Linked DNA regions of Tamandua tetradactyla. The protein of the gene in region 1 purifies or fractionates together with the protein of each later gene. This does not show direct contact. Links are inferred from orthologs where the notes say so. Each region holds a gene or a part of one and is shown in the gene's direction. Other genes may lie near its edges.

Region 1 (7,227 bases):
TCTCATCCTAATCCCACCCTTTTCCCTCTCTCCTGGGTGACCTCTCCACTTCAAGATCACCTTTTCCAGGCGCGTCTCCAATTCTGACACTTCAGCTTCCACTAGCTCGATGGAGGCTCTGGGAAAGGGGAGATAGTGTCACAGGAGCCGTGCTTGGATCCATCAACCTCCGCAGGGGCAGGAGCCGGGGTTGGGGGGTGGTGGGTGTTGACAGAGAAAGCCACTGGCTTGAGGAGGCCTGCTCACCCACTGCCTCTTGCTGGCTCACTCTGCACACAGTCAGATATAGCCCAGGCCGGAGCAGGAAGGGTAGAAGGAGGGTGGATGCGGCCAGGGCAGGAAGTTGCTAACCGCCCTAGAGCAGGTGCTGGGGGAGGGGCAGGGGTCCCAGCACCAGTGAGGAGGCAACGTGAGCTCTGGGAGCGAGATGAGGCTGGAGAGGCCAGGGGCAGAGAGTATCAGGGTGCCGGGCTTGATAGCGGAGGTACCATGCTGGTCTGCAAACTCGCTCCTGTCCCTTTGAGGCCTACTCCTTGGAAGGAGACCTGGCCTGGGGAAGGTTGTTTTTGTGTGGAGGATGGAGGGAACTTGGACCTTGCCCACCCGCTTCTGCTAGACCTGCACAAACTTACCGGAACCGGGGCGAGTCCTTGAGACACTCCTCGAAATCCAGCTTGACTGTCATCTCTGGCTGCTGCGGGGCCAGCAGGCCTTGGAGGCGAGGCAGGTGAGGATGCGAGTGGAGGCCCTTCCGGCCCCAGGAGGGGAGATGATGGTGAAGGAGGAGAGGGTTCTCTCCCAGATAGAGCCTGGAGGGGGCTCAATCCTTTCCCCAAAGGGAAGGGGTGTCGTAGGAGGAGCGCTCACCCCACACTTCCAGGCCCGAAGTGGGAGGGGTGGGGCGGGGCCTGGGGAGAGGAGGGGGGGCTGTGATAAGAGAAGCCACAGCACCGCCCTCAGAGACTATTTGCTGTCACCTTCCTACCCAGACTCTCTACTTCTTTTCCCTTTCGTGGTTGAGTTTTCAGAGCCTGGCAGACCTTGGTTCAATTCCCAGCTCTGTCAGGTAGAGGCGTGTGACCCTGGGAAAGCTCTCTAATTCCTCAGTTTCCATACCTGGAAAGGGGGATGATAACCCTACCTCCAGGGTTGTGGTAAGAATTAAAGATCATGGCACTGGGACAGTTAGGACCAGCTCAATGAATCGTGCGTGGCCCTCATTGCCATTCTGCCGCCGCGTGGGCCTTCTCGGGCTCCTAGGTTCTGGTTGAACCTAGCGCCCCGGGCTGCTCCAAGCTTTCTTCACTCTGTTCTGCCTGCCTGTAGTTTCCTGTGTGTGAATTTCCTTCCCTCTTCCCTTCTCCTCGATGACATACCAGGCCCAGGCTGGCACTCAACACACGACACCCAGGCCTCTGCTCTTCTATCTTTATTGCCCACCCCTAGGGTGGGAAGGGCAGGGGAAGGTTGCCCATACCCCTCCCCTGGCTGGTTATGTTTCCCATTGTCTGGTTTCCTCCTTCTAGCTCCATCGAAGCTGCAGGGTTTCATCTGGAGGAGAAGGGGTTGGGTTACTGGTTTCCTGCAGCAGGCCTGAGAGCTTGCCCATGTGACCCCCCACCCCAGACTCCCCCAAACCAACTCCACCTGCCTCTTTACCTTCTTGGCCAGTGCAAGCACCCATGCCCCTGCCGAAGCTCACATCTGCACTTGCTCTGGGGTGGGTGGCTTTGGTTGTTTACAGATTCCTTCTCTGAGCCCGCTGGGTTTTGCCAGTTCAGCTTCTTGGTTACTAGCCATTGACACCATCCGGACACCACTTGGGACCCACTGGGGAGGGGAGTACCTGCAGTGGGGTGGGGTGGTAGAGAGGAATCAAGGAGGAGGCATGGGTCCAGGGGATGGTACCAGGGGATGGGAGGGGGTCCCAGCCCTTCTGAGCCTTTCTGTTTCCTCTCCTGTATAGTGAGGGCCTTGGGTCCCGGGCCTCTTAGCACCTGTTGCCCTGATCTACTGGCCTGAAAGGAGAGCCCTGGGGGTGAAGAATGTGGGGGTGAGGACAGGAGCTTGCCAGGAGCCAGGCCCAGAAAGATGGTATCCTGGTGCCCTTACCGGGCTGTGATGGTGTCCCTGTCCCCATCAGGGAGTTTGCAGCCTTGTGCTCCTGAAAGGGGCTTTCCATGTGGTCCAGCAGGCGGACCTCAGTGCTTATGGGATCCTCAATCACCAAGGGCAAATTTGCAGAGCAGCCTGAAAGCATCATGAGATCAGGGTTGGAGCATTCCTCAGGCTGTTGGCCCTCATCTCCCTACCCCTCTTGACTTGGCCCAGCTCTTACAGTCCTGCTGTTCATTGTCTGTGTCCTCCTCAAGCTCCGGGTTGGGGCAGGAGCGAAGGTATCTTCCCATGATGTAGTACTCCTTGCGCTGCTGATCAATCTCCTTCTCCAACTTGGTGGGGATCGAGGCTGGGGGCTGACTTTTGTCGGCATGGGCATCTGCAAATTTATCTAAGCCAAATCTAATGCATGGCCATCTGGCCCCTGCATGCCCTCAGGTCTCCCCTGTGGGCCACCTCGCAGGTTCTCATCTCACTTTTCATACCTCTCTCATTTTAGAAAACCTTCTGGGACTTCCCACCCCCTACGGTTCCCTGGGGCTCTGTGTTCTTCCCCACCAGTCAGACTTCCCTGAGGCTCTCCTGAGCGGGGATCCTACCCTAGCTGTCCTCTTTCTGCCCTGAGGTCACCTCTCAGCATCACCTTCACCTCAAGCAGCAGGGGCCTGGGCTGATGCCCACAGGGGAAAAGGAACTCTGGTGGGGGAAGAGAACAACTGGTTCTGCACTACAACCCCCTTGAGTCGCTGGAGTCCCCATCGCTAACCTTTGGCTTCTAGAACGTGACTCCTGGCCTCTAGGCCAGTCTCATCTTTGCCTCCTCTGGCTGATCCTCTTTTACTGCCTCTCTCCACAGGCTTGGGTTCGGGGTCTGGCATCACACCTCGACCTCCATTGCTGGCAGTGACACTACCCCCGTGGTAGCGATCGTCATTACCCAACGGCAAGGTTTTCTGAGTCCTGAGGAAATTCCCTTCATCATAGTGTGCCTTGCGGTGCTGGTCAAAATCACTGGAGTCTGTGGGCCAGTGTGAGAGCTTGGCTTTTCCCTCCCAGGTTCTCTGGTAGGTTGACTCCGCCTCCCCTTCTCATTTAATCCCCACCCCTCATCTCACGTGTCTTGGTAAAGTTGTCTAGAGACCCTGAATATCTGTTCTCACGGTTCTGGAGGACCTTGGGGTGGAAATTGTCCACTGTTGCAAACCTGAAGAGAAAGACTAGTTGGGGGTACTGAAGGGAAGTGAGTAACAAGAGGGTAGGTGGGGAGGGGGCTGAGCCAGCTGCCCCTCAACCTAGGTGGATCTTGGCCAGTCCTGATGAGAACTGTAGCAATACCCATGTTGGGGTCCAAAGAGTAGAGCTGGCTCAGACCCCAGAGTCAAGGGGTGGAGGTCCCCCTGCCTCACATGATCTCTGACAGGACTCTCACCTCTCTGCCAGTGCCTGGGGAGTCACTGCGTAGGAGGAGCCTGTGGCCAGGTCCTCGTTGCTGTCCTGCAGCCTGTGGACAGGGGAGCTATGCAGGGAGGGGGAGTCCAAGTAGCAACCAGTACTTGAGGCTTCTTGGCCTTCTCCTCCCTTCCCAACCCCCTGGCATAGTGAGGAGAGTCTGGGTGGAAGGGGTAGAGTTGAGGGCTCAGCACCTGTGGTAGGGAGTGCTGGGCTCGTCCACCTTCATAAGTCCGTAGTCTTTGCCAGCAGGGTGGTAAGTGGCCAAGATATTCATCTCATCCCAGCGCTGGGCCTTTTTCCTGGGGGGCGGGGGGGGGCAGTTCGAGGAGGAAACATTCTAATGATCCTCTCCTACAGCCCTTCCTCATTCTTTCAGAAAGCTTTTTTGCGCCCCCTTGTAGGTCCAGGGGCGGTATGGACAGAAATATAAGCGGCTGGGAGTGGAGTCAGACGTAGTGATTACTTGGGTACTGTGTATCCACGGTTAATCGGGCCCCTGCGGGTTTCCCCAAGGCCCCAACCTCAAATTTCCCTCCCAATGTCTCTTCCTCTCGGGACTCCTCCCATTCCCCAGGCCCCGCCCTCTCCGGAGTCCCGAACTCCTCCCCCGGAGCTCTCGGCCGCTCTCCCGCAGGGCTGGGCCCCTTACTTTTCCACATTGGGGCATTTCTGCATCAAGACACAGCTGTTGTTTTTGAGGATGCTCCGGGGCCGGTCTTCACGTGTTATTGTGTTGCGGGAGGGAGAGCAAATTGGCCCGGAGTGCGGACTACACCCCTCTATGTACTCTTCAGACCCCCCGGACCAGGGGCTAGACGCCCGGGTTAAGCTGGTTCCAGGGCAGTGGGTGTTGATTACGGCAGGGTATATGACAGACCCAGGGCCATGACCCGCAACCTCTCCAGGGGGCTGGCTGGGTCCCGAGCCGAGGACCGCGACTCCCCCAGAGGGCTGGCTGGTACCAGGACTATGAGTTACGACACTCCCGGAGTGCTGGGAAGGCGCAGAGCCGTGAAACAGGACTGTTCCCGAGGACAGCCCGGCGCCTGCCTCGGCCCTTCTGATTCCTCCGGGAACCTCCTGGGTTGTTCCTCCGGGAGATTCCCCTTTGAGGCCGCCAGCGGCCCCCAGAGTCTCCTTCGGCATGGCCCCACCTCCGGGGGCCACTGTTATCCACCCGGCCCCGCCTTGCCTCCCTCCCCCACATGGCCCCGCCCCCGAGGCCCCGCCCCATAACGGGGTGGGGCGGGGGCGGTTGGGCAGCGGCTAGGGTTGTCTCACTGCTGCGGTGGGCGGGAGACCGGGTATAAGGACGTCAGGCTACAAGTCCCCCTACTCGCCCCTCCCTTTTGGTCCCACCCAAAGATCTTCTTTCTTTGTCTCCAGGATTTGTTCCCGCCCTTCTCTCCCATCACGGCCCTCCTCTGAATCGGCCAATCATAACCAGGGTCCTGGGGTGTGGGGGTGTGGGCCGAGAAGCGTGGATTGTGACGTCACAGCCCTCCATCATTAACGCGAGCGTGGGAGAGTTGAGCTGGGACTTAACATGCCTGGGGGATCTTTTAGGACTGTTCACGCCGTTGCTCGAAACTGCCATAGTTTCTTTGGACTCTTTATTCGTAGCTTTAAAATCGAAGAGTTTGGTTAAATTGGGGCTCAAGCAGGGCTTGAATGGAAACCTCCGCAGCTTTTTTTTCCTTTCTCCCCCAAAATCGGCTCCCTCTGTCTCTCACGAGAAGTGTGGCGCTACTGTCGCAAGACATTTCCGGTATCGGTGGTGCGGAGGGCCGACTTTCACTTACAAAACTGCCGGTTCTCTTCGCCGGGCCATCCAACCGTGGCTCAAATCGCTTTGAAGAGCGAAACGGAAAAACCTCCTCCTCTTGCCGTAAAGCGAATACATCCTTCCTTCTATGGAGGGCGGGATCGTCCGGGCCGCTGCCGCAAAACTGCGAGCGTTGAGGCGCCAGCACCCCTCTGTCGTAAGGTTGCCTGGGGCAGTCGTTTCCTCTTTCCACTGTCGCAAAAGCTCCCTGCCCAAGTGTTCGCCTGTCTCAAGAGCCACTCCGTTACCTCACCGTGCCGTAAAGCAAACAACCCGACCCCGACGTCCTTCTGTTCCTATCGTGGTAGTCAGGTCCTTAGCCCGGGAAGCCTCATTGCCTGGGGGTGCCGTAAAGCATTTCTGGTCCCCGCCCACGTTCCTATTTCCTCAGGGTGCCTGTCCCTCGCGGTTGCCACGGTGCCGCCAAGCGCGGCTGTCGCGCGGCCCCGGTGTCAGCGGCGATGGCGGCGGGGTCCGGTGGGAGTGGGGGCTCTGGGGGAGGTCCAGGGCCGAGCGGGGGCGGGGGCGGGGGGCCCAGCGAGAGCGGCCCGGGATCGGGGTCCGGCGCGGGTCTCGGCAGCGGTGGGGAGCTGCACCCGCGCACCGGGCGCTTGGTGAGCCTTTCGGCCTGTGGGCGTACAGCGCGGCGGCAGCAGCCGGGCCAGGAGTTTAACCACGGGCTCGTGTTGAGCCGGGAACCTTTGCGCGATGGACACGTCTTCACTGTCCGCATCGACCGAAAGGTGCGGAGCCGCTGTCGCGGAACCGAGATGCAGAGGGTGGTGGGAGGGGACCACAGGGAGACGGGGTAGGACAGCCCAGAAGAGTCCACATCCCAGGGTAGAGGGGGGGAATCGCCCGTCTGTCACCAGATGATAGAAAAGGACCTTGAAGCAGAAGCATGCAGTCTGCAGGAGAAAAGAGATCCAGAAGTAGGGAAGGGATGTTAGAATAGCTGGAGAGCAGATCCAATTTCTTGGAAATGGAGGGTGAGAGATGCCAGAGTGTGATGGCAAGAGAAGAGAGATAGAAAGGGGAAAAAAATCAATTAAGGCAAACCCAGGGACAAGGCCAGAAAGCTGCGTGAGTAAAATGCTCAGGAAGAGGGAGGTGTGTGTGTGTCATTTAGTGAAAAGGCCAGGCTCACAGAGATAAATTTGGGAGGAGCGTGAACCTGGGTAGATCTAGAGTCTTGGAGAGAATTGGGCCAGAGGATAGAGTACTATATGATATCAAGGGGTATGTGAACAATTTGGGTGGTTGAGGGGCCTCAGAGACCAGGGAAGTTAGAAGAAACAGGAGCTGGAGCCAGGAAATTTAGCCAGCAAGGTAGGTGAAGGGACAGTGTGGTAGACACCAAGGACCCGAGGACAATGCAGTGTTGTTAGAAGACAGCCAGCCCCAATAACCACTGAGACAGTGTCTAGAAAATCACCTGCAGGTCTATAGTCTCTGGTTTAATCTCTTGGGGAGAGAGAGCACCAAGTAACACAGCGAGAAGCTGCTGTGGCCTGTGAAATGTAACTTCCTGGAGGTGGGGAACCCACTGGTGGTCCATCCTGAGCCTCTGTCCACCACTCATCTCACAGGTCAACTCCTGGAGCGGCTCCATTGAGATTGGGGTGACAGCGCTGGATCCCAGTGTACTGGACTTCCCAAGCAGTGCCACAGGGCTGAAGGGGGGCTCATGGGTAGTGTCAGGCTGCTCGGTGCTGAGGGATGGACGCTCTGTGCTGGAGGAGTATGGTCAGGACCTGGACCAGCTTGGCGAAGGGGACCATGTGGGCGTGGAGCGCACAGCTGCTGGAGAGCTGCGCCTCTGGGTAAATGGG
Region 2 (6,991 bases), on another chromosome or scaffold:
TCTTTTATCATAGTCAAATTTCATCTGAAAAAAAATCATTCCGACCCGCAGAGACGATTTTGAATAATTCTGTCATCTATCTTCTTCCGGTCTCTCTGAATTTTGCATCTTCCTTAAATTTGGAATCTTAACTTGACACCGATAAAAATATAACTCAGGATTAGACAAAGGATAAAATTACTTTTAAGACTTCCCTCAATATTATCAACCCTCCTTTAAGCAGCACTTTTTGAATCGACCTTCCTCTGCCATAATCTAAACCTACATCTCTCCATTTTATCCACAAAGGTGTCTTGCCTTCCTGAAATCACCAGCATCCCGGGTTAGCGATAAATAATCCTATCAAGAAGTGGTACTTCTTCATAATGACTTACTTGAAGGGATTCATGATGACTTGTATTAACTGCTCCATTTTCCCCAAGAGCTCATATCCATTGTGTTCAATGATTTTTATTAGAAACTTTCCTGGGATTGGCATCAAACTTAGTGGACTATGCTATTAAAAACCTATCTTCCCCACAATTTTGAAAATCACTGTAATATTGGACAGTTTATCTTCATAGGAGTTGGTAATCAAATTGGAAAAAGTTAAATAATTTAAACAGGGAATTTAAACTCAAACAGGTAAAGTGGGAGTAGCTGGGGTTAAGACTTAACCCTTCCTGAGAAGCATTCACCAACACCAGCTGTTTCTGTCCTAAAAATCTCTCTTAAATTGTCTACCTCTCCCATGCCAACTAGAGTTGCAGCAACCATCTCAAAATATTCTTTTGCTCTGCCTCTTATGCATAAGTCAATTTGGATGGAGTTTTCTGTTTATTTTAACAGTAAGAATTCTGATTTACATGTGAGTGGGAAAGGTAGTCTCTTAAAGGAAATCAGAGTACTGTCACCAGAATAAGGGAGATTGGATGCAGGGCAGAAAAAAACCCAAAGGATTCTTCTATCTTCTCATTGTTTCCAACCTCTTGCTCATACAATCTACTGTCCTCATTACTGCCAGAGTTATCTTTCTAAAATAGCACTTTTATCATCTAAATTCTTCTTCTACTGCCTTTAAAATAAAATCCAAAAGTTTTGTTATCATGTTCAAGGCCTTCTCAATCTGGTGCTAACTTGTCTACTTTCCCCCAGAACACAAACCATGAACCTGTCTCTTCAGATTTCTGCCATTTCCCAAAGTGTGCCCTACTAGTTCATTCCCTTGTACATTCTACTGTCTTATCTGGGAATGCCTTTTTTTTTCTGATACTACCAGATAGAATTAAGCCAGCTGAAAAGCTCTCTTTTCTAGCTGAACCTTTCTTGATGTCCCAGTCTTCATTAATTGTTCCTTCTATCAGGTTCCAACAAGAGCAGGCAATTTGTATCTCTGCTCAGGAGCACTCATCTCATCCTACCTTATGGTGCAGTTACCTGTGTTCTCCACTATAACACTGGCTTACAAACTCTTATGGAAACTCACAGCAGCAAACAGAAATACATTTCATATTGTGATCCAATAGGCACATTTTACATATACTTTATATATCATCAATTTTAAGAAGCACCTCCTTCATTTTAATATTGCTGAATTCAGGATGTAGCAATGAAGTATCATTTTGATAGCATTTTCTCTTTCTTTAGAGTACATAAAATAATTGTCTCATAATTGATGACATTTTAGATCTGTTGAAGCATGACACATAACTGAAACAAAAATATCATGAAATTATGTTTACCCTTATTATGTGTGATGCTCTCTTATTTTGTGTTTGCTCTATTTCATTTTTAAAAATGCAGGCCAGAAACCACTAAAAGGATTTCACTACTGATTGATCATACTCTGCAGTTGGAAAAACTAAGAATTTCAACCATTTATAGCCACACAACAGGTTTAAGAAGAATGAAGACTGGATATATTAACATGACTTGACAATTTGACTATCTGCATAAGTGTGACTTTAATTCCAAGAAATTCTCACCCAGGAAGATGAAATTGGAAATAACTTTGTTGTTTCAGGAACTCCCTGAAAATCCATTTATCTGAGCAATTAACTACTGGGTGAACTAGCCTTCATCAGGTTATACAGCCCCACCTCAGAACAAGATTGTTCTGTTAGTCTTATCAAACAACTACTCTTCTAGAGTTACTTCAAAATTCTCCCCTTTCTGTGTCTACCCCTCCTAAACTATTATATCACAAAGCTAGCCCAGTACCAATCAGGCCCTCTCATTGGAAAGCCTGCCATAAAGGAGACCCCTCAAATCTTATAAATAGCCCATTCTTAACCTCCCTTTTTTGAGACCCTTCTAAGACTATCAATGTAGTGTTTTCCCTTACTGAGGTCTCTTCTATATTTAAGAGCAATAAACTTTCCTTGGCTTTATTAAGGGTTATTATTTTTTTTTTGTATTCATCACCAAGATCATTTTTATTTTATTTTTTCTCTTTTTAATTTTTTTATATTTCACATATATACAAAAAACGCAATAAATTTCAAACCACACTGCAACAATTAGTTATAGGACAACTTTTGGAATTTGGTATGGTTTAGAGTTCCATAATTTTAGATTTTTTCTTTTAGCTGATCCAAGACACTGAAGACTAAAAGAAATATCAATATAATGATTCAGCAGTCATACTCACTTGTTAAATCCTATCTTCTCTGTTATAACTCCACCTTCTCCTTTGAACTTTCTCTATTAAGGGTTATTTTGTTGGTCTTTACTGAAGTCAGAGCTGATGCTACATTAAAATCTCCATGAAAGAAGGCACAGTGTTTGTGTGCCTTAGGTGATCAAACTGATGGAAAGGGGAGCACAAAGGTAGAGTGGGGGAAAAGCTGTGCTAGGAATTCCAGGGGAGTCTACCACAGGAGTAACAATGATGAACAGAGGTCACAGGTAAGGAGCTCTTGTGGCAGAGGAACTCATCCAGAAGTTGGACGTTTTGCAGTTTAGACGAGCCTCCCTTTTCTTTTGTTTTTATCCACTTTCCAACTACTTCTTCATACCTGGTACTCAGATGGTACTGATTTCAAACATCTCATTCCAATCATTTAACTTCAAGCCACCATGTGATCCTTGAAGTGGTCTCTGCTTCACCCTGGAAGATCCTTTGCTGTCGTGTCTGGTTCTCATCAAGATGGTGATTAAATCACCGAAAAAATATGCTGACTTGCCTCTCTGATTTAATTTCATAAATACCTCCTTAAATTTCACATAAATATTGGAAATGATCCTGGACTCAATAAGCCATCATAAGCAAAATGTTTGTTCTTCAGCCAAGAAAGTACCAATCTACCTTTTCCACTACATCTTACAGCACACCCCTTCCCAAATTCTATGCTTCAGTTGCATTGGCCTAGTCCCAGTTTCTGCAACAAGCCAAGTAACTCTCTGCCTCCCAGTCTTTGCTCACACTGGTCCCTCCGCAGGAACCCCCCCACCTCTGATTTTCATCGGTTCCTTCTAGCTGCAGCCGAATGCTGCCCCCCGCATCCCCCCGCCCCCCCCCCCACAAGGGCGACCTCTCCAAGAAGCCTTCCTCCATGACCTCAGGCAGAATTAGAGCCCTTCCTCGCACCTGGTTTTTACTGCTTTGGCCTACTGCCTTCCAGCCAATCTATCTTGAGTTCTAGCCTTCCTGCTCCCGGCCCGTTCCCATGGGCAAGGACGAAGGCCTGTTTCTCGTGGATTGCCCAATACCTGGCACGTAGTAGGAGCTCAGTAAACTTTCGCAGGGAATTTGATCCCTTCATATTCCAGTGCCAAGGCAGGTAATAGAGCACAGATGGCTAAGCCACCGGGCTTTCCCGGCGGCCCGCAGGGTCAGCCCACCCGAGGCGGCCAACGAGCCCACGTTCCTCCCCCGGCCATCCAAGCGACTCGCCGAACCCAGTCACGGGCGTTGGAAATTCCGACGCGTGCAAGAGCGCGCGGCCGGGCGGGGGCGGAGGCGGGGGAACCCGTGGAGTGAGCCTGTGACGTGAAGGGGGCGTGGCGCCAGAAGCCCCGCCCCCTCTCCCTCGCCCTCTCTAGCGGGTCGGGGTTACATGGCGGCGACTGCGGCAAAGCGGGAGCCTCGGAGACGTCGCTGCCGCCAGCACAGCCGGAGACCTGAGCCGACCCTGGGGGCTGTCCGCGGGCCCCGCACTCTCTCGATGAGTCGGAGAAGTCTCGTGAGTGTGTGTGTGTACGTGTGCCAGGGGCGCTAGCTGGGCGACTCGGGAGGGCGCCGCGGCGGAGCCGGCTCCCACCTCCATTGTGTGTGACCCTCCGGCCGCAGCCGCTCAACAAAGGCGCTTTTGTTCCGTCTCCCGCCCGTCGGCCCGCCCGCTCGGGCCTGGCTGGGGCGTCCCCGCGCCAGGAGGCGGGCGGCGGGTGGCGGGCCGGGGTCCCCGCGTGGGGCCGGGAGAGAGGCCGGCGCGCCCCTCCCACCCGGCACGCCTCTCGCCGGCCGCCCGGCGGGTCCGCGCCCGCCAGTCCCGGGGCGCCCCACAGCCGGCTGCGGAACCGCCGCCCGCGCCCTGCTTTGAGGGTTCGAAGCTTGGCCCGGCCGGCGGGCGAGGGGCGGCGGCCGGGGAGGGGCGGCCCGGGGGAGCGTGAGGTGGCACGGAGTCTCGCCTTCCTGGCACGCCGCCTTTCGAAATGCTCCCGCGTCTCCTCCCCCTTCCCACCCGGGTGACTCGGCCTCAGCTGACTCCTGCCGGGCAAAGTCTCCGGTGGACTCGGCAAATTGCGTAGCGCGCGCGCCGCTTACCCGGCTCATCTCAGAGCCCTGAAGTCCTCTGCCCAAGTTTTGAATTTAGCCATTAATGAGGTACAGAAAACTCGTCTGAGAACGGAATTTCCAACCCCCACCCGAGGCCTTTCCTTAGCTTCTTTCCGGGACGTTGAGTGGTGGTCTGTAGGAGTCACTCAAATGAAAACTTGTTTTGTCGGTTCACGGAAAAGGGCCTCTTCATTTTGCTGGCAGTTTTTTTTCCTTTCCGCTGTGTGAGTTGCGTTGAAAAGTAAAGGTGTTGTGGCCTCCTTTTGTTCCTTGGCTTACTTAGTAAGACCCAGTTCGTTCAGGTGTTACGTGGGAGGTCTATGAAGCAGGATCTTTTCCTTTACTTTTGTGTTTTGTTTTGCTTGCTTATTGGGAAAGGTTCAATGAAGGGAACTGGTGAGGAAGAATTAGAAACCACGTATTAGCAGAGTTCATGTGCTTTCCTGAAGTGTTAATAGTGCCCTTAAGTCACAGTCAAAGTTTTAGTATTAATTCTTTTATGGGTACAGGATGACTTGTCAGGGAGGAAAAAAAAAATAACAGGCGATAAAATGGAGGGCAAACAGCTTCAGAGTAATTTTCTGATTGCTGTTTCTTCTAACCTGTTTTTGTTTTCTAAAGTTCTAATGGGACATATCTTCTCTTTTCAACCTGGATTATTCAACGTTGGGAAACTGGAGGTGGTAAGAATGATCTGACTAGAAGAATGTAGGGTCCTGTCAGGGCCTAGCCCTGAAAGGGAACCCGCCTTTAGAGTTTCTTCTCATAAATGTCAGAGTTTAATGTTTGAAAACTAATTGTGAATTGAGTGGACGAAACTCTAAGAAATCTTTAAGGAGTAGATGTTCAAGCATGTTTTTGGAGTGCTTGTTGTTGCGCCAAGGAGTGAAAAGTCCTTTCACATATATATGTTACATCATTTAATAAAAATTGCCTTGTGAAATTTGTAAAATTGCTTATTGGTGCCCTAAATTCAGAAACTGCAATCATCTAGGAAATATGCTAGATTTGAACAGGACATGTTTTATCACCTAGACATTACTATTTAGAAAAAAAGTTCTGGAAAATGGAGAATTGTTTAAATTAAAGTTTATGTATGAGGATACTTGAAGTTTAGTTACTGGTAAAAGAGGATTGAAAGTTGTCTTTGGCTTCTTTCCGTGATTAAAAAAAGAATCTTGAGAAAGGAAAGATTGACTTGAAGAATAATTTTGCAATGGAAAAAGCGTATGTTCTAAAGACAAGTGCTAGTATTAAAAGTGTTGCAGCATTCTACATGAATTTAGTTATCGTGAGAATTCATAAACTGACAGTATTAAGGTTTGCTGACTCAGGTAACCTTTCAGAAAGGATGGGGTAGGGTAGGAGGAAGCTTAGAATTGCTGCAAGTTTTTAGTTGGGTGATGACTCATCCTGCCCACGGCTGCTACGTGGCCTTCTTTTTTTTCTTTAATACACTGTATTTTTTTAAATGATAGGCTAAAATGTTTCTGTCCACATTATAATTCTTCTTTTTAAAACTTTCTTTAAAGAGGAACAGCGGTTTCTCAAAAAAAAGTAATGGCTTCTAAAATTGTATTTTAAAAAGATCTCTTTGAATATGTTTGAAAATGTGTGTATATATATTTTTTATTGTATGCATATCTTTATCTATACTTGTTTTTAGATACCATATATCTTCCAGGTGGAATTATGTAAATTTGTTGAGAGGAAAGGTTAAATCTGCTGCTGCTGGGTTGAAGTTAAATGATACTAGTAGTTCTTTGGCTACTATTGAGAGGCATTTGTTACAGGTTAACAAAGAACACATAATGCTTTAATGTTGGTAAAAATTGACGTTATGTTTTCATTGGTTATATATGTTGTTTTCATAATTAGTTGGTTTAAATAGTGTTGTAAAGGTGCCAATGGAGTATAATATATAACAGATACATCTCTGAACTTTATTTTACTCTGATGAGATTAAAGCATAATTATATACATATTGCTTTCTCATGTAATTTGTATGAAATTTCTGTTTTAGAAAAGACAACTTGAAATAGATCATTGTTATAGCCATTATTTTTCATCAGCCTTTTTAAGGATAAGCTGATTCTGTAAGTGCAGTTTTTTTTGCCCTCCCTCATGCCTTAAATTTAAGACTTAGATTGAAATTTGGTAAAAGTTATTTTAGCTGATTTTAAAACAGCCACTGTGTAGCAGGTTGGAGTAAAAACAAGATTGAGAGAACAGCAG
Region 3 (6,921 bases), on another chromosome or scaffold:
GCCCTATCAGTACATATGCATCAGTACCTTCTGTCCTCAGTTAGCACTGTGCTGTACTTTAAGGCAACTTACACAAAGGTAAGTTGAAATGGAAGCCAATGACAATTATTTGCTTTTTTCCTATAGTAAATAACATCTTTCTTTTCATGACAATACTATCTGCTATGCATCATCCAATCTCTCTGAACTTAAGTTTAGAATGCAAAACACATTCTTCAGTATCTTTGGATTTATTTTTAAATGGAAGGCTAGGGAAGCTACTCTTACTGTCTCTCTTCCTTCATAATAGAAATTTAACTTGGTTTATAAACCCTAAACTCAGGTGCCCTCCACTGACTCAAAGGTTGCCTTCCTAACACCCTTTCCTCTTCAGACTTAATTGTTTTTTACCTTTATGCTAAGGCAATTTTAAAGAATCTAGCCACCTTTGAATACCTGGCATAAACAGCTTATGTCTGTGGAGGTCTTACCACAGGCCAAGAACTTGACGTGGATTATCTCACTGAATCCTCACAACCTAGAGGGTAAATGTAAAATGGGAAATATTCTCATTTTACAGAAAGGGAAACTGAGGTAAGGGCTGGAGGACGGGGTGAGGAGAGGTACTCTGGGTGCAGTTTTCTTTTTTCTTACAAGTTTTGTTGTGAAATATAACATATACAAAAAAGCAATACATTTCAAAGTACACTATAACAATTAGTTAGAACATCTGTTTTCAGAGTTTGGTATGGGTTACAGGTCCACAACTTTAGGTTCCTGGGTGCATAATTCAAGGAGACACTCAATTGTGAGACACTGATCCATACTTGCACAACTCAGAGTGAGTGCCTTCTTCAGTTTTATGCCCCAGGGACCTTGATGCCTGTACCCTAGTAAGAATCCTGTTTGGAGTCTTAAGTAACTTGCTCATTGCACAAGCCTACCTCCAGCTGCACAAAGAAAGGACAGTCAGTCCAAGTTTTTATTTACATCCTGGACCATATTCTAATTGATGACAAGTAGCACTGGGCTTGGAATTAGAAAAGGTGAATTCTGGAAGGAGATGTGCACGTTTGAGTCTCAGTTTTCTCATCCATTCAATGTTAAAATAATGTCTCAAAGAAATGAAAGGATCAGATATATTTCTATGTATGCAAAAGGGCCTAGTCAACTGAAAAATTCTCTTACTATGCAAGCTGCAAAATGTGAAGTCAGGAGACCACCAGGAGTTGGGAGGGATCAAAAGTATAAGAAATACCTTGTGAAAAGGGGAAGTAGAAATTGATTAACCCCGCCCAGTCAGGCTGCCAGGGTGTGTGTGTTTGGGCTGGTGGGTGGGGTGATAAGGAGATGACTAAGGTCATTTAGAACACAAGTAAAGCCCCAGTTTCTGTTAAGGGTGATCCATTTAAAATAAATTCAACTGCTGACCTAGACCCTAGGCGACTTGATGACATTTCCTATTTCATTCATACACTGACTTCTCTTCTGTTCCTTGAAAACTCCAAGATCATTCTCACCTCGGGATCTTCGCACTTGGTGTCCCCTTTTCTTGGAAAGTCTTCCCCAGATTCTATGGCTGGCTTTTTTTTCCTAATCCCCGTTTCGGTACAAATGTCACTTCTTCGCTGAGGATTTCCCTGATTACCCTACTTTAATTGGCATAACCTACACTCTCCACTACCCCTCCCCCCAAACCCCTGCCACCAGTTTTTTTTTTAATGCCATTACACCACTTCTTCCTTGCACCTCTCGCAGCACTTAGTATCTGGCTTGTTTGTTCACTTGTTTAAGACAGTCTTCCCCACTCCAATGTAAGCTCCGTAAAAGCAGAGACCCTACCTGTCTCATTCATGGCGGTAGCTCCAGTGCCTGACACTTAGCAGACGTTCTATAAATACATGCTGAAGTATTCCATAAATACCTGAGGTCGGGAGTTTTCCCAGACCCTGGGGGAGATCAAGGGTCATCGGAACGCATTGCTGTGGATGAATGGGAGCGGGAGGGGGGTGCTAGGAAGACTATCCTGAGGAGACTGGGGACCCTCCGAAAAGAGAAGCAGAGGTCCGAGCCCCCGGAAGGGGCGGTGTGGCCCGAGGCGTGGGGGCAGCTCACCTGCCGAATGGCAGCCAGGGTGTTCTCGGGCGCGTCGTGGCTGCCGCCGCGGTGGGCAATGGCGGAGATGCGACCCCGGGGCTTGAGCACCTGCAGGGCCCTGCGGGAGGACACCGGCTCAAAGCTGAAGAAGCGCAGCAGGATGTAGAAGCTGCCGGTGAGGAGGCAGGCATTGAAGGGGCTGCGTGTCACCACCAGCACCAGCAGCAGCAGGAAGGAGAAGGGGCCCAGGAGGCCCCCCTGCTCCTCCCACAGCCACATGCCGGCGCCTGCACCGGCACGGACGGGAGTCCCGGACCCGCCGGGCTCCCCGCACGGGAGGGCGAAGGTCGAAGTGAAGAGCCCAAGGCGTTCGCCAGAGGTGGCACCCTCTGAGGGGACCCGCGCCGCACAATGGCGGCTGCCGGTCCATCCGGAGCGGTACCGGCTATCCAGCCAATCAGAGCTCGGGATCTCCAGCACTAGGGGGCGGAGCCGCTGCCATGGCAACGGAGGCGGGCCCAGGTTCGAGTTCCAAAGTGGCCTTGGGCTCTTCTGGGGTCTGGGCGTCCACACGGATTCCAGGCTGGGTAGGAGAGAAAGGGCGAGATAGAAGATCCGTCGTACGGTTGTAGGACTGAAAGGGATCTTAGTGACTCCTTTATGTTCCCAAAGAAACTGAGGCCAGGAGGCCTTGAAGCAGCAGGACGCTGAGACCATTTACTCAATTCAATTCGAGATATGCCAACCATCCGTCCAGGTGCTGGGGACACAGCAGCGAAGAGGATGGACAGAATCCCAGCTTTCATGGAGTTACATTCTAGTGAGGGCAAATGACAGGAAGTACAGCTAGCAATTCTAGAGCACTCAAATGTTTTATTATGCGTTTTCACATTTACTTTCACAAGAACTTCAGTAGGTAATACTATCTTCGGAGACGAATTTCAGTCGACTTTAGGAGGATTTTTCAGATTCTGAAGAAATAAAAGAACATAACAAAGGAGGCAAGATCGGAAGGGGGCTTAAAGATCCCTCACTTTATAAATGAGAAACCCAGGCCGGGAGAGGTGAAATGCTTTGTGCAGTTAATGACCGAGTCAGGGCTGATATCAAGCTACCCCAGTTTTAGGCCTGTGACCTTTCTACTGCTACTGCTCCTCCTAATCTTACTTCTCCTTTTACTAGGGGCTAAGAGTGGAGGTTAATATGCCAGGCATTTTGCATTACTCACAACTACCCTGTGATAAGTATTTTTTAAATCTCCATTTTACACGTGCAAAATAGCACTGAAAGTAGGGTCAGAAAGAGAGGAAGAAGTTAAAGCTGAGTTAGGAAATGATTTAGGCCACTAAATCATATTTTGAAAAGCTGGGTGGAGTGTTGTTTGGATAGAGAACTTTGGTAAAATACCTGGGGCTTTTTTGCCATCTTGTACCTGTTACCTTTCTTCTTTGGACGTCTTTTCCAACTTATTTGCAAAAGGGTAAGAATGTCTTAAGGTTTTGAGCTGGCATCTGCTGATTCAGCAATATTTTAAACACGGAGAAATCATTTTGATGAATGCAATGTTTTCCAACGACCACACAGAAAATGTCTATACAGATAAGCAAAAAATGAAAACTTCAATGAATAATTCAAGGGACTTCAGTCTTTAAGGAGCGTTCCGACGGTAATAAAAATTTGGAGGGAACTGCTTACAGTGAAGACTACGTCTTCCGGCGTGCACCGCGCTCGCCGTAAGGAAGTCGTCCTTCGTCATTGGGCCTGAGCACCACTAGCCGCGCAATGCACCTCGGGGATTGTAGTTTTACTGGATGCCAAACAGCGTCAACGGCCCAAGATGCAATCACCGGAAGTGCCGGCCCTGGGAGGTGGAGCCTGGGGGGCGGCGGCGGCGGCTACCGTGGCGGTTGCCAGGAGCCCGCGTTGCCGCCTGAGATCCGTAATATGGCGGGGAAGAGGAGGAGAAGGCGGCGGTGGACCGAACTGCGCTCTGTCGCTACCAATTGAGCCTTTTGCTTCCCGACGAGGCCCGGGGCGAGGGCATAAAAGCTGACCCGGCCGTGGGGGAACCAGGTGTGTGCGTGAGGAGGGGCTCTATCCTGAGCATATCTAGGCTGACAGACCACCGGAGGAGGTGGGACTGGCGCCTTGCGTTGCTGAGGGCAGCTAAGCACTGAGCCCTAAGTCAGATATTGGGTTCCGGGACCCTCGAGCTTCTGGAAAGGCAGCCGGGTGTGGTGAGGCGGCAGTCCCGGGGGCCGGCGGCAGCGGGCGCGGAGGTGATGCTCGGATGCTGGCACCGCTTTGGTGGGCCCTCGGGATAGAGCCGTATTCGAGGAGCTTGGAGAGGTGGGATTGGGGCTCTGGGGTGAGGGCACGGGGTCCTTTGAAAATAAACCTTGCCCAGCTGTTTGGGGCCGTTTCTCTTTTCCCACGCTGATGGAGAGGGAGGGGTCCCCAGTGTGCACTGGCCGTTTCTCAACGCCGGTTACCACAACCAGAGGCACTAGGAGCGCCGTTTACCCTGCTTTTGCTAGTCTTTGGGGCATAAACGTGAGGATAATCAAGCATATTCTCTTGATTGTGCTGATGTTGCTAGGTGTTAGCTTTTCTTGTCTAGTTGTAGCCCCAGCCCGTGCCCTTCCGCCCTCCCCCCAATTTGGCAATTTGAAGAGGAGGGGTCTGGAAACAGAGAAGGAAGCTGTTGCCCTCCTTTCTATGTCCCCCTTTAAAAAAATCACATTTTGAATCTTACCAGGAACCAAGCACTCCCCTAGTGATAAAAATCATCATCATCATCTTCATAGTACAAACAGCCTCTATTTCTGATGACTTTCTGCGTGACCTGCATTCTAATTGCCCTCCATTGCATTTCCTCATTGAATTCGCACAGAATCCCTTTGAGACAGATATGCTACCTCTATTTTACAGATGAGGAAACTGAGGCATAGATATGGTAAGTGGCTTGCCAAGAGCCCACGGCTAGTATATGTCTGAATAAGAAACCAACCCCTGTTCTGCCTCTATAAGAAGTTTATATTTTGTGGAGGACTGATGGATTAACAGCCAGAGAGGATCTGAAAATAAGACAGGATCTGTTCTCTTGTTTCTTTTACCATTCCCTTCAGTGACATTTCTGGCAGAGGACTGGTGAGGAGCAGATAGCATGGGGTTTACCAAAAGGCTCATGGAGAAGGGGCAGTAGTACTTGTTTGGTATAAATGGAGAAGACAAGGCATGTTTGAACATGCTGTAGCTGACAAATTGTTCATTGAAGTGGACGAGTATTGCCCAGTAGTAAAGTATGGGGCTGTAAATTTGTGGTTGGGGTTGCTCTCAGTCTTTCTCCCTTAGAATAAAGCCTTGCTAACTGTGGTAATTGTAGTGTGAGAAACGTAGGGCCCTCTCGCTTACTCAATATGGAATGTGGACTGCACACCTTTTAAAGGATTGCCTTTCAAGTTTACAGATTGAAATATATTACATATATTGAATATGTAATTTCAGATTCTCTTGAGACTAGGGTCATCCATAAATCATCATTCTTTAAGTTCCATTCTTCCTTACTGCTTTCTCTTTTGCTATATAGTTCACTCTTTTCCTGGTTTATATTGTTGTTTGAGCTAATTACTGTAATTCTTTTATTCAGTACTTTTATCAAGTGCCTACTGTGTGCAGATACTGTTCTATTTAATGGGGATTCAGTGGTGATCAACACTGAGAAGTTACCTGTGCTTATGGAACTTACGTTTTGGTGGAGGAAGACAGACAAAAACCAAGGAAATAAACAAGATAATTTCAGATAGTGGTAAGTGCTGTGAAAATTGGGAAACAGCAGGGAAAAGTGATAGTGATTGAGGCAGGGTTAATTTAGATGGGGAAAGTTGGGAGGACATCTAAATTGATATTGAAGAATAAGAAAGATCCAGTCATGCTCTAGGATCAATTGGTAATCTCCCTAACTTTCAAATTAGCACTTTTTTCTTTTGAATGTTTAATATACTACCACATGCCATAAAATATGCTGTGATAATATATTGCGTATATCTGTAATATAAAGGACATACACGTTGTATTAGTAAAGCAGCGAGGTACATCTATTTGAAGAAAAACAAAATTGTTGTCATAAAGATATTTTATTTCTTTAAATTTCCCAGAACTTTAAAATGGAATTTCATGCTTTGCTTGTCTATCCAGAGAAAGTATATTACATTAATTGTAATTATCTATTTGCATTATTTGTGTGTGATGCTGAATGCATGGTGCATGATTATATTAAAAATGTTTTGAAGTATTTTAACAAAAATGGGTTCATTTGAATTTCTCTTACTTGATAGTTACTGCATATTTTGGTGGTGAAGATATTTTTATGTGAGTTTAAATCTAAATGAAAAGCCAGGTCTTATATGGTTATCATGCAGGAAAGTATTTTGTTTTTTACTTTTGTTCTGTGAATTTAAGATTGCAAAATATATCACTCATATTCTAAGGAACCATTTCTTTAAAATTCAGCTCCCTTTACATAAGTTGATTGTAGAAATAATTACAATAGATGGGATGGTAGGAAGAAATTTTGTTATTGATAAGACTACCAGTTCATCAGAAGCAGGAACATTTTAAAAATAATTTAATCGTAATTTGAATATTCTTTTTCTTCATTTCTAATTTAGCTATATTTTTTCCTGGCACTGTTCTGTATTGAATTCTTAAGTAGTTTGAGGCTTAGACTAGTATCAAATTCTATCTAATTTATTTCATCGTTGCGTGTCCTAATCATGAATTCAATTTCCCTGCCTTTTCTTTTTCTAAGTAGGTAATTATTTTAAAATGAACACTTAAAGGAAA
Region 4 (6,338 bases), on another chromosome or scaffold:
TCAGAACTGTCTAGTGGAAGACTGACAGATCGCCTAGTCAGTTAAGTTTAAGGCACTTGCAGTGGTTTGGGAGAGTTGGACCTAGGTGTATTCATGGTAAGATGTCCCCAGGGGTGGTTCTGAAAACAATGGCCATTAATGTCCCTCCTTTTCCATCTCCCAGAGTCTGGAGTGTTCCTTACCCAGCTACTGAGGTTGTTCTCTCCCCTGCCACAAAATCCATATGTCCCATTCCGGAGCTATAAATTCACCTGTTTCTCAATCATCCCAGACTTTGCATCCAGAAGGTCCAGGTGCAACAAGGATAAGGGCGTTTATAAAACTTAGAGAGACCCACGTCCCTCACTCTACATATGGGCCACTGTTGGGGAACGCAGAGAGAGGGGTACTCAACCAGGTGGCCCACTTATCCTCCCGATCTAGGACCATGTCAGTCCAAAAAGAGAATCCAGGTGATTGGACCACAGTTAAGTTTGAATTTCCAAGGATGGGGCTCCCATGTGCAGGGCTTACCACCCAGGCTGGCCAGGGGCTGCTGTTAGGGTAAAGAAAGCATCCTGCCCAGGAATGGTCAATGCTGATCTGTCTAAACTCTCATCCCTCTCATCCTGATGGTTTCCCGTAACATGACCAAGAAGAGATGATCCCTTCCCTGGGACAGCCACATTCAGTGATCAAACTGCCTCACTGAGGTGTGTGGACCAGGAGAAGATGAGAGAGGGGAAGCCAGAAATGTTTCTGAGTAGATTTTGCAGAGGCCGTTTCAAGGCTTAACAAGACCATATATCTGAGGCAGGGAAGGGAAGGCTCTTGAGATAAAAGGTGCACCATTGTTAGACTTGAAATGGTCCAGAAACCTAAAAACATGCCAGTGTAGTTGTAAGAACCACAAGGAGGTGGCCTGAGTTGCTTGATTGTGCTGCAACAGCAACACTTTAACCTGGAAAACAGACAACAGTGGTGAGACACTGTCTAGAGCCCCAGGAGGCAGGTAAAGGTCCCATAAAGCCAACCTGTCAGGAGTAGAAAGTGGCAATGTTGTTTACCCTCCATCACTGCAAGAGAAACAGACCAACCTGTGGCAGGAATCACTGCCTGGCATGCAGTAGTAGCCTTTGCCTTAAAAATCTGGAGAGATGATGAGACAGGCAGATATGGTGAGGCTGTGAGTGGTGCCGACTCCATCGACAGCTTGAATTCAGCCGGGCTTATCAGTAAATTGGCTCTCGCTGTGGCCGTTTGCCTGAGTGAGCCAGATATGTTTCCACTGTTAGCTGAAAACATCACCATCCAAACTCCTCTGTCAGGTGACAAGGCCATTATCAGTGAAATCATGGATTTCACCTTTGGGAACTCTGATTCAGCCACAGGGCTTTCCAGCTGAAGCCACAAGGTTTGTGTCCTTTGGCTGACCCAGGCTTGAACTAGTCAGTCTAGTTAAAGATTTGTCCATTTTGTTGATTTCTTCAAAGAACTAACTCTTGGTTTAGTTTTCTCTATTGCTTTTCTATTTCATTTATTTCCACTCTGATTTCTATTATTTCTTTTCTTCTGCTTGGTTGAGGCTTGGTGTGCTCTTCTTTTTCTAGTTTCTTAAGGTGGAAGGTTAGGTTATTGGGTTGAGATCTTTTATTATTTTTTAAATACAGGCACTTATGGGTATAAATTTCCCTCTAAGCACTTCGTTGGCCGTATCCCTTAAGTTTTAGTATGTTGTACTTTCATTTTTATTCACCTGAAGGTATTGTCTAATTTCTCTTATGATTTATTCCTTGACCCACTGGTTAGTAAGGCGTGTGTTATTTAATTTCCATGTATCTGTGCGTTTCCCAAATCTCTTCCTGTTACTGATTTCTAATTTCATTCCACTGTGCTCAGAGAGCATATTTTGTAAAATTTCTATCCTTTTTAATGTGTTTAGGTTTGGTTAATGGCCTAGCACATGGTCTATTCTGGAGAATGTTTCCTGTGCACTTGAGAGGAACGTATATTCAGCTGTTTAATACTTTAAGGTCCCTTGCGATTTACATTGGGCCACCTGGAAAATCTCCCTATTTTAAGGTCAGCCGATTAGCAACCTGAATTCCTCCTTTGTCATGAAACATAGTCACAGGTTCCAGGAATTAGGATCTTTTGGGATCATTCTCTTGCCTACCACAATAGGCCTGAATCACGAGCACCTTCTTTTTTAGGCATCATATTTGCTAAAATTAACTAATAAACAACAAAAACAAACAAAAACCACAGAACCATTTTTTTGGGGGAAATAATGGCAAAAGAATTATTCCCTTAAAGTTACGGTTTGTGAAGACGCTGAACTGTTTTAATTCTCAATACTGAGACATAAAATTAGGACAAAACATAATTCAAATACTTTTGAAAATGAAATCTGATCAACTGTCGCATAAGTTCTACCATCGATTTATGGCAGTTTTTCTATAAAAAGATAACATCCTCATAGAACAACTGTATTTCATAGTGTAAATGTAACAAGCAGAAAGAACATGAATGACAGTTTTCTCCTATGGTTGGTCACAAACAAATCATGGCCAATTAACAAGTGGTTCTTGGTATATTTCAGTGGGTTAAACAGCAGATATTTTCCCCCAAAGTCTTTGGATCTCTGTTGGTTAAACTTAAAGCTTCTAGTTTATTATGAGGGAAAATATGCAACCACAGACAAAAGTCAGAGGGAGGCCTTACTCATAATGAAAACTTCAGACATTACATCACAAAAATAAATATGTTGAACTGTATGGCATTACCAATATCTGACTGGTTTTAACCTACAAACACAGCAACTTCATGCTGTTCAACCTAATAATACAGCAAGGAGAACTCCCTGTAATCCTTATGTCTCAGAAGGGACCACTGATCTTTGGTGTGTATTCCTCCAGGCTGGGGAATATATGCACATTTATGGGTCATAGAATTATCACCACAAAATTGTACCATAGGTAATCTTTTTTTTCCTTAATTTTTTTTTTTTTGGGTGGGGTGTATGGTCCAGGAATCGAACCTGAGCCTCCCACATGGGAGGTGAGCATTCTACCACCGAACCACCCGTGCACCCACCTAAACCACCTGTGCACCCCCCATAGATAATCTTTTGCAACCTGCTTTCTAAACGCTTTGAAGAGCAGAGCTGTGAATTCAGGTTCAGACCTGAATTCAAAATCTAGCACAGGCTTGGATCAGCTGCTGCCCCTCTCTGGAGCCTCAGTTTCCTCACCTGTAAAATGATACTAATGATCTTGTGCCAATTATTAATTTATTGTCTCTCAGCTCCAAATTTATTCTCTTTCTCTGCTCTGTGCATTCGGACCTGGGCCCTTTAGTTTTCTTTTGCTGTTGACACAATGTTAAGTGTTGTCAGAAGAGGGCGCTGGAGAGGCAAGGCTGGAGGAGAGTTTTTGCTTCCTGGTTAAGGTGCATTTCTGGGCAGCCTCTGCAGGAGGGTGCAGCTGCCCCAGCACCCACTGCCCCAGCACCCAGCTCCCTCAGGGCATTCTCCACACAATTCTTGACAAGGGATAGCACATAGAAAGTTCTCAGAAGTCTTGATGGTAAAGCCATTGCAGGAGTCATGGTGTGCAGATCAGCTGACTGGGGAGCAGAGGTTTGGACTTTTTCAGCCTCCGACAGCCACGACGTAATTGTCACACCCTCATCTGAGCCTGACCATCGTCGTTGGTGCTCTAGAGCCAAGGGCAGATATACTTAAAGCCCATTATAAAATATTTGGGTTCCTTAAGCACAGGGTTCCTCTCTTGTAACATAACCCATGGTTATGGGTCCATCTAGTTCCACCAGCACTGCCTTCTTAAGACTCCAGGGTAAAGGGAACTGACGCAAATATGGTCCTGTTCATGCTGCTTGCTATGAGTGAGTAATAAAGTTCCTTGTCTCTGACCCAGGAGACTCGAAGCTCGTGCCAGCATCCATTAAACTGCAGGCTAACTTGTTAGCCGGCAAGTAGGATAAAATCTCAGACCTTTCACCCTCCTTGACAGTTCAGGCAATGAGGAAGGGATGCTGACAATTCTGTAGGCGGAAGGATGAGGCTCTTAAACGGCCTGATTAACACTATTTGCGGGAATTTCAAGTGAATTGACAGCACACATATTGACCAAAACGTATGGTCAACCAAGCAATAGGCGGCCTCCTTCCCCAGCGCCCCGATGGAGAAGTGAGAAGCACGGAGGCCCGACAGGCTCCACGCGCGCGCAGGGGCGGTTCGTGGCTATGACTGTCGTTTGTCGTTGCGATGACGTCGCTGCTCGCCCCGCCTATCCGGAAAGGAAAAACCCCAGGGGAGGCGGATTTCTCACGCCAAGGGTGTTTCCTACCACTTCCGCTCCTCCGCTGGCCTCGACCGTCGAAAAGTCGCCGCCCACTGGGCTGCAGCTGCCGGGCGCTCCTCCAAGGCACGGTCAAGTCTGCGACCAGAAACGCCCCACTCAGGGCAGCGCGCGACCTGAGGCGCCCTCGGCTGCCCCATTTCCGCCCTCAGCCCCACATGGAGGCGCCCGAGCCGCGGCGGAGGGCGCAGGGCTTGTGCGTCACTTCCGGTGAGCTCGGCGGCGACAACGGCAACATGGCCCTAAACGGCGCTGGTGAGGACTTAGGCTGCGGGGGCCTGTGGCTGCGGGGTACTGGAGTCAGCCCGTTCCGGCAAGAGCCCCCGGCCCCTTATGCCTCTCTTCCTCCAGAAGTCGACGACTTCTCCTGGGAGCCCCCGACGGAGGCGGAGACAAAGGTGTTGCAGGCGCGACGGGAGCGACAGGATCGCATCTCCCGGCTCATGGGCGACTACCTGCTGCGCGGTTACCGCATGCTGGGCGAGACGTGCGCGGACTGCGGGGTGAGGCGAGAACCTGGCCGCTGGGCCCTTCCCCAGCTCTTCCTTCTGCACCCTATCGCCCAGCGCCTCACTCCTGCCCCGTGTGCTTTCTGACCCCTAGACGATCCTCCTCCAAGACAAACAGCGGAAAATCTACTGTGTGGCTTGTCAGGAGCTCGATTCAGACGTGGATAAAGATAATCCGGGTGAGGGCCCGAGTGTGCTTGGTAGGAAAGAATCGTGGCGATGGAGGCCTGGGGACAGTAGGTCTGAGAGGTGACAGTGGAGTCTGGGAGTGGGCAGAGGTAAGGTGCTTTCTCCTTTAGCTCTAAAGAGGACTATTCATTCAGTAAGAACACTTAGCACCTCCTGTATGCGAGACGCAGTGGGAGAGTCTGAACTTTATCAGGCAAAGTCCTGATGGGAGAGATAAAGCAAGGACATAAATAATTGTGACACAAAATAGAGACTGGATGAATTGCTTTGTAGAGGAGTACAGAAAATACTTAAAGAACAGAAAGAGCAGAGCAGTCAAGAGAGAAGGTGGCTCTGGGCTATGGTGGGCCAGGACTTCTGACCATTCCACCTGCTTTTTCCTCATTTAGCTCTGAATGCCCAGGCAGCCCTCTCCCAAGCTCGGGAGCACCAGCTGGCTTCTGCCTTGGAGCTCCCCTCAGGCTGTCGACCTGCTACTCAGCCTCCGGTACCCCGGCCAGAGCACTGTGAGGGAGCTGCAGCAGGGCTCAAGGCAGCCCAGGTGCCACCCCCAGCGGCAGTGCCTCCAGATGCAGATGTCTTGGCCTGCACACAGGGGGCTCTTCTGCAGAAGCTGACCTGGGCCTCAGCTGAGCTGGGTTCTAGCGCCTCCCTGGAAACGAGCATCCAGCTCTGTGGTCTGATCCGGGCTTGTGCTGAGGCCTTGCACAGCTTGCAGCAGCTGCAGCACTGAGACACCCCTGAGAAAAACCCTCTAGAAAAACACCTGTTCATGTGTGTGGTTCTTTTCTTGGTTTTCAGTGTGTGTCCCAGCCCCAGCTCCACTTGTCTTTTTCCTCCTTTTGGCCTCCCACCCTTCCCCCATCTGCTTTCCTTGATGTCTCTGAGAGATGGGTTGTGAGCTTGTTTCTGCTCAGATTCCCCAGTCAGAAGGTGAAGGGGGAGAGAATGGACAAAATGAGAACCCTTTTTCTGGGGTGTGGGCCACAGCTTCCTCAAAGGCAAGAGGAAGATGGGTGGGCCACCAGCCTGGACCTGGCAGCACCCCATCCTCCACTGCTCATTACCTGCCTGTGAGTGAGATCTCGATCCCCTTTGCATCCTGAGCCCATATCCTCTCCCACCTCATGCCAGCCCCATAGAGTCATACCCTGCAGGAGGTTGTGGTGACCCTGACATCAAGTTGCACGATCGAGCCATCTCCTGACTCCCACTTTTGGTCCTTCTCACCTAATGATGCGTGTGTAGCAGTGTACCAGGTTATGTCCTTGGGAGAATA

The links.
Region 2: the proteins of NEURL4 (region 1) and MAPK6 purify together in Homo sapiens (affinity purification with mass spectrometry; 6 studies listed by BioGRID and IntAct, counting the BioPlex papers as one, with this or other methods). This does not show direct contact. The link is inferred for Tamandua tetradactyla from reciprocal best matches to the Homo sapiens genes NEURL4 and MAPK6.
Region 3: the proteins of NEURL4 (region 1) and CCP110 purify together in Homo sapiens (affinity purification with western blotting; 4 studies listed by BioGRID and IntAct, with this or other methods). This does not show direct contact. The link is inferred for Tamandua tetradactyla from reciprocal best matches to the Homo sapiens genes NEURL4 and CCP110.
Region 4: the proteins of NEURL4 (region 1) and ZNRD2 purify together in Homo sapiens (co-immunoprecipitation; 4 studies listed by BioGRID and IntAct, with this or other methods). This does not show direct contact. The link is inferred for Tamandua tetradactyla from reciprocal best matches to the Homo sapiens genes NEURL4 and ZNRD2.

The regions. Positions count from the first base shown.
Region 1 is NC_135332.1:61,192,847-61,200,073, reverse strand, and holds the start of NEURL4 (neuralized-like protein 4), read left to right. Parts: upstream 1-4,210; 5' UTR 4,211-4,219; coding exon of another isoform or gene 4,220-4,716; 5' UTR 4,717-5,856; coding exon 5,857-6,138; intron 6,139-6,984; coding exon 6,985-7,227. Other genes in the region: ACAP1 (arf-GAP with coiled-coil, ANK repeat and PH domain-containing protein 1), read right to left, coding at 61-118, 633-685; uncharacterized protein LOC143688138, read right to left, coding at 1,548-1,551, 1,660-1,846, 2,113-2,250, 2,339-2,497, 2,885-3,136, 3,234-3,322, 3,548-3,634, 3,762-3,869 and 1 more. UniProt on the Homo sapiens protein: Promotes CCP110 ubiquitination and proteasome-dependent degradation. By counteracting accumulation of CP110, maintains normal centriolar homeostasis and preventing formation of ectopic microtubular organizing centers.
Region 2 is NC_135340.1:66,877,299-66,884,289, forward strand, and holds the start of MAPK6 (mitogen-activated protein kinase 6), read left to right. Parts: upstream 1-3,984; 5' UTR 3,985-4,169; exon of another isoform or gene 4,170-4,219; intron 4,220-4,521; exon of another isoform or gene 4,522-4,804; intron 4,805-6,779; exon of another isoform or gene 6,780-6,852; intron 6,853-6,991. UniProt on the Homo sapiens protein: Atypical MAPK protein. Phosphorylates microtubule-associated protein 2 (MAP2) and MAPKAPK5.
Region 3 is NC_135349.1:40,987,764-40,994,684, forward strand, and holds the start of CCP110 (centriolar coiled-coil protein of 110 kDa), read left to right. Parts: upstream 1-3,914; 5' UTR 3,915-4,149; intron 4,150-4,834; exon of another isoform or gene 4,835-4,969; 5' UTR 4,970-5,032; intron 5,033-5,725; 5' UTR 5,726-5,884; intron 5,885-6,921. Other genes in the region: GDE1 (glycerophosphodiester phosphodiesterase 1), read right to left, coding at 2,095-2,355.
Region 4 is NC_135335.1:8,949,439-8,955,776, reverse strand, and holds ZNRD2 (protein ZNRD2), read left to right. Parts: upstream 1-4,276; 5' UTR 4,277-4,519; coding exon 4,520-4,616; intron 4,617-4,712; coding exon 4,713-4,864; intron 4,865-4,964; coding exon 4,965-5,049; intron 5,050-5,448; coding exon 5,449-5,792; 3' UTR 5,793-5,824; downstream 5,825-6,338. UniProt on the Homo sapiens protein: Might play a role in mitosis. Antigenic molecule. Could be a centromere-associated protein. May induce anti-centromere antibodies.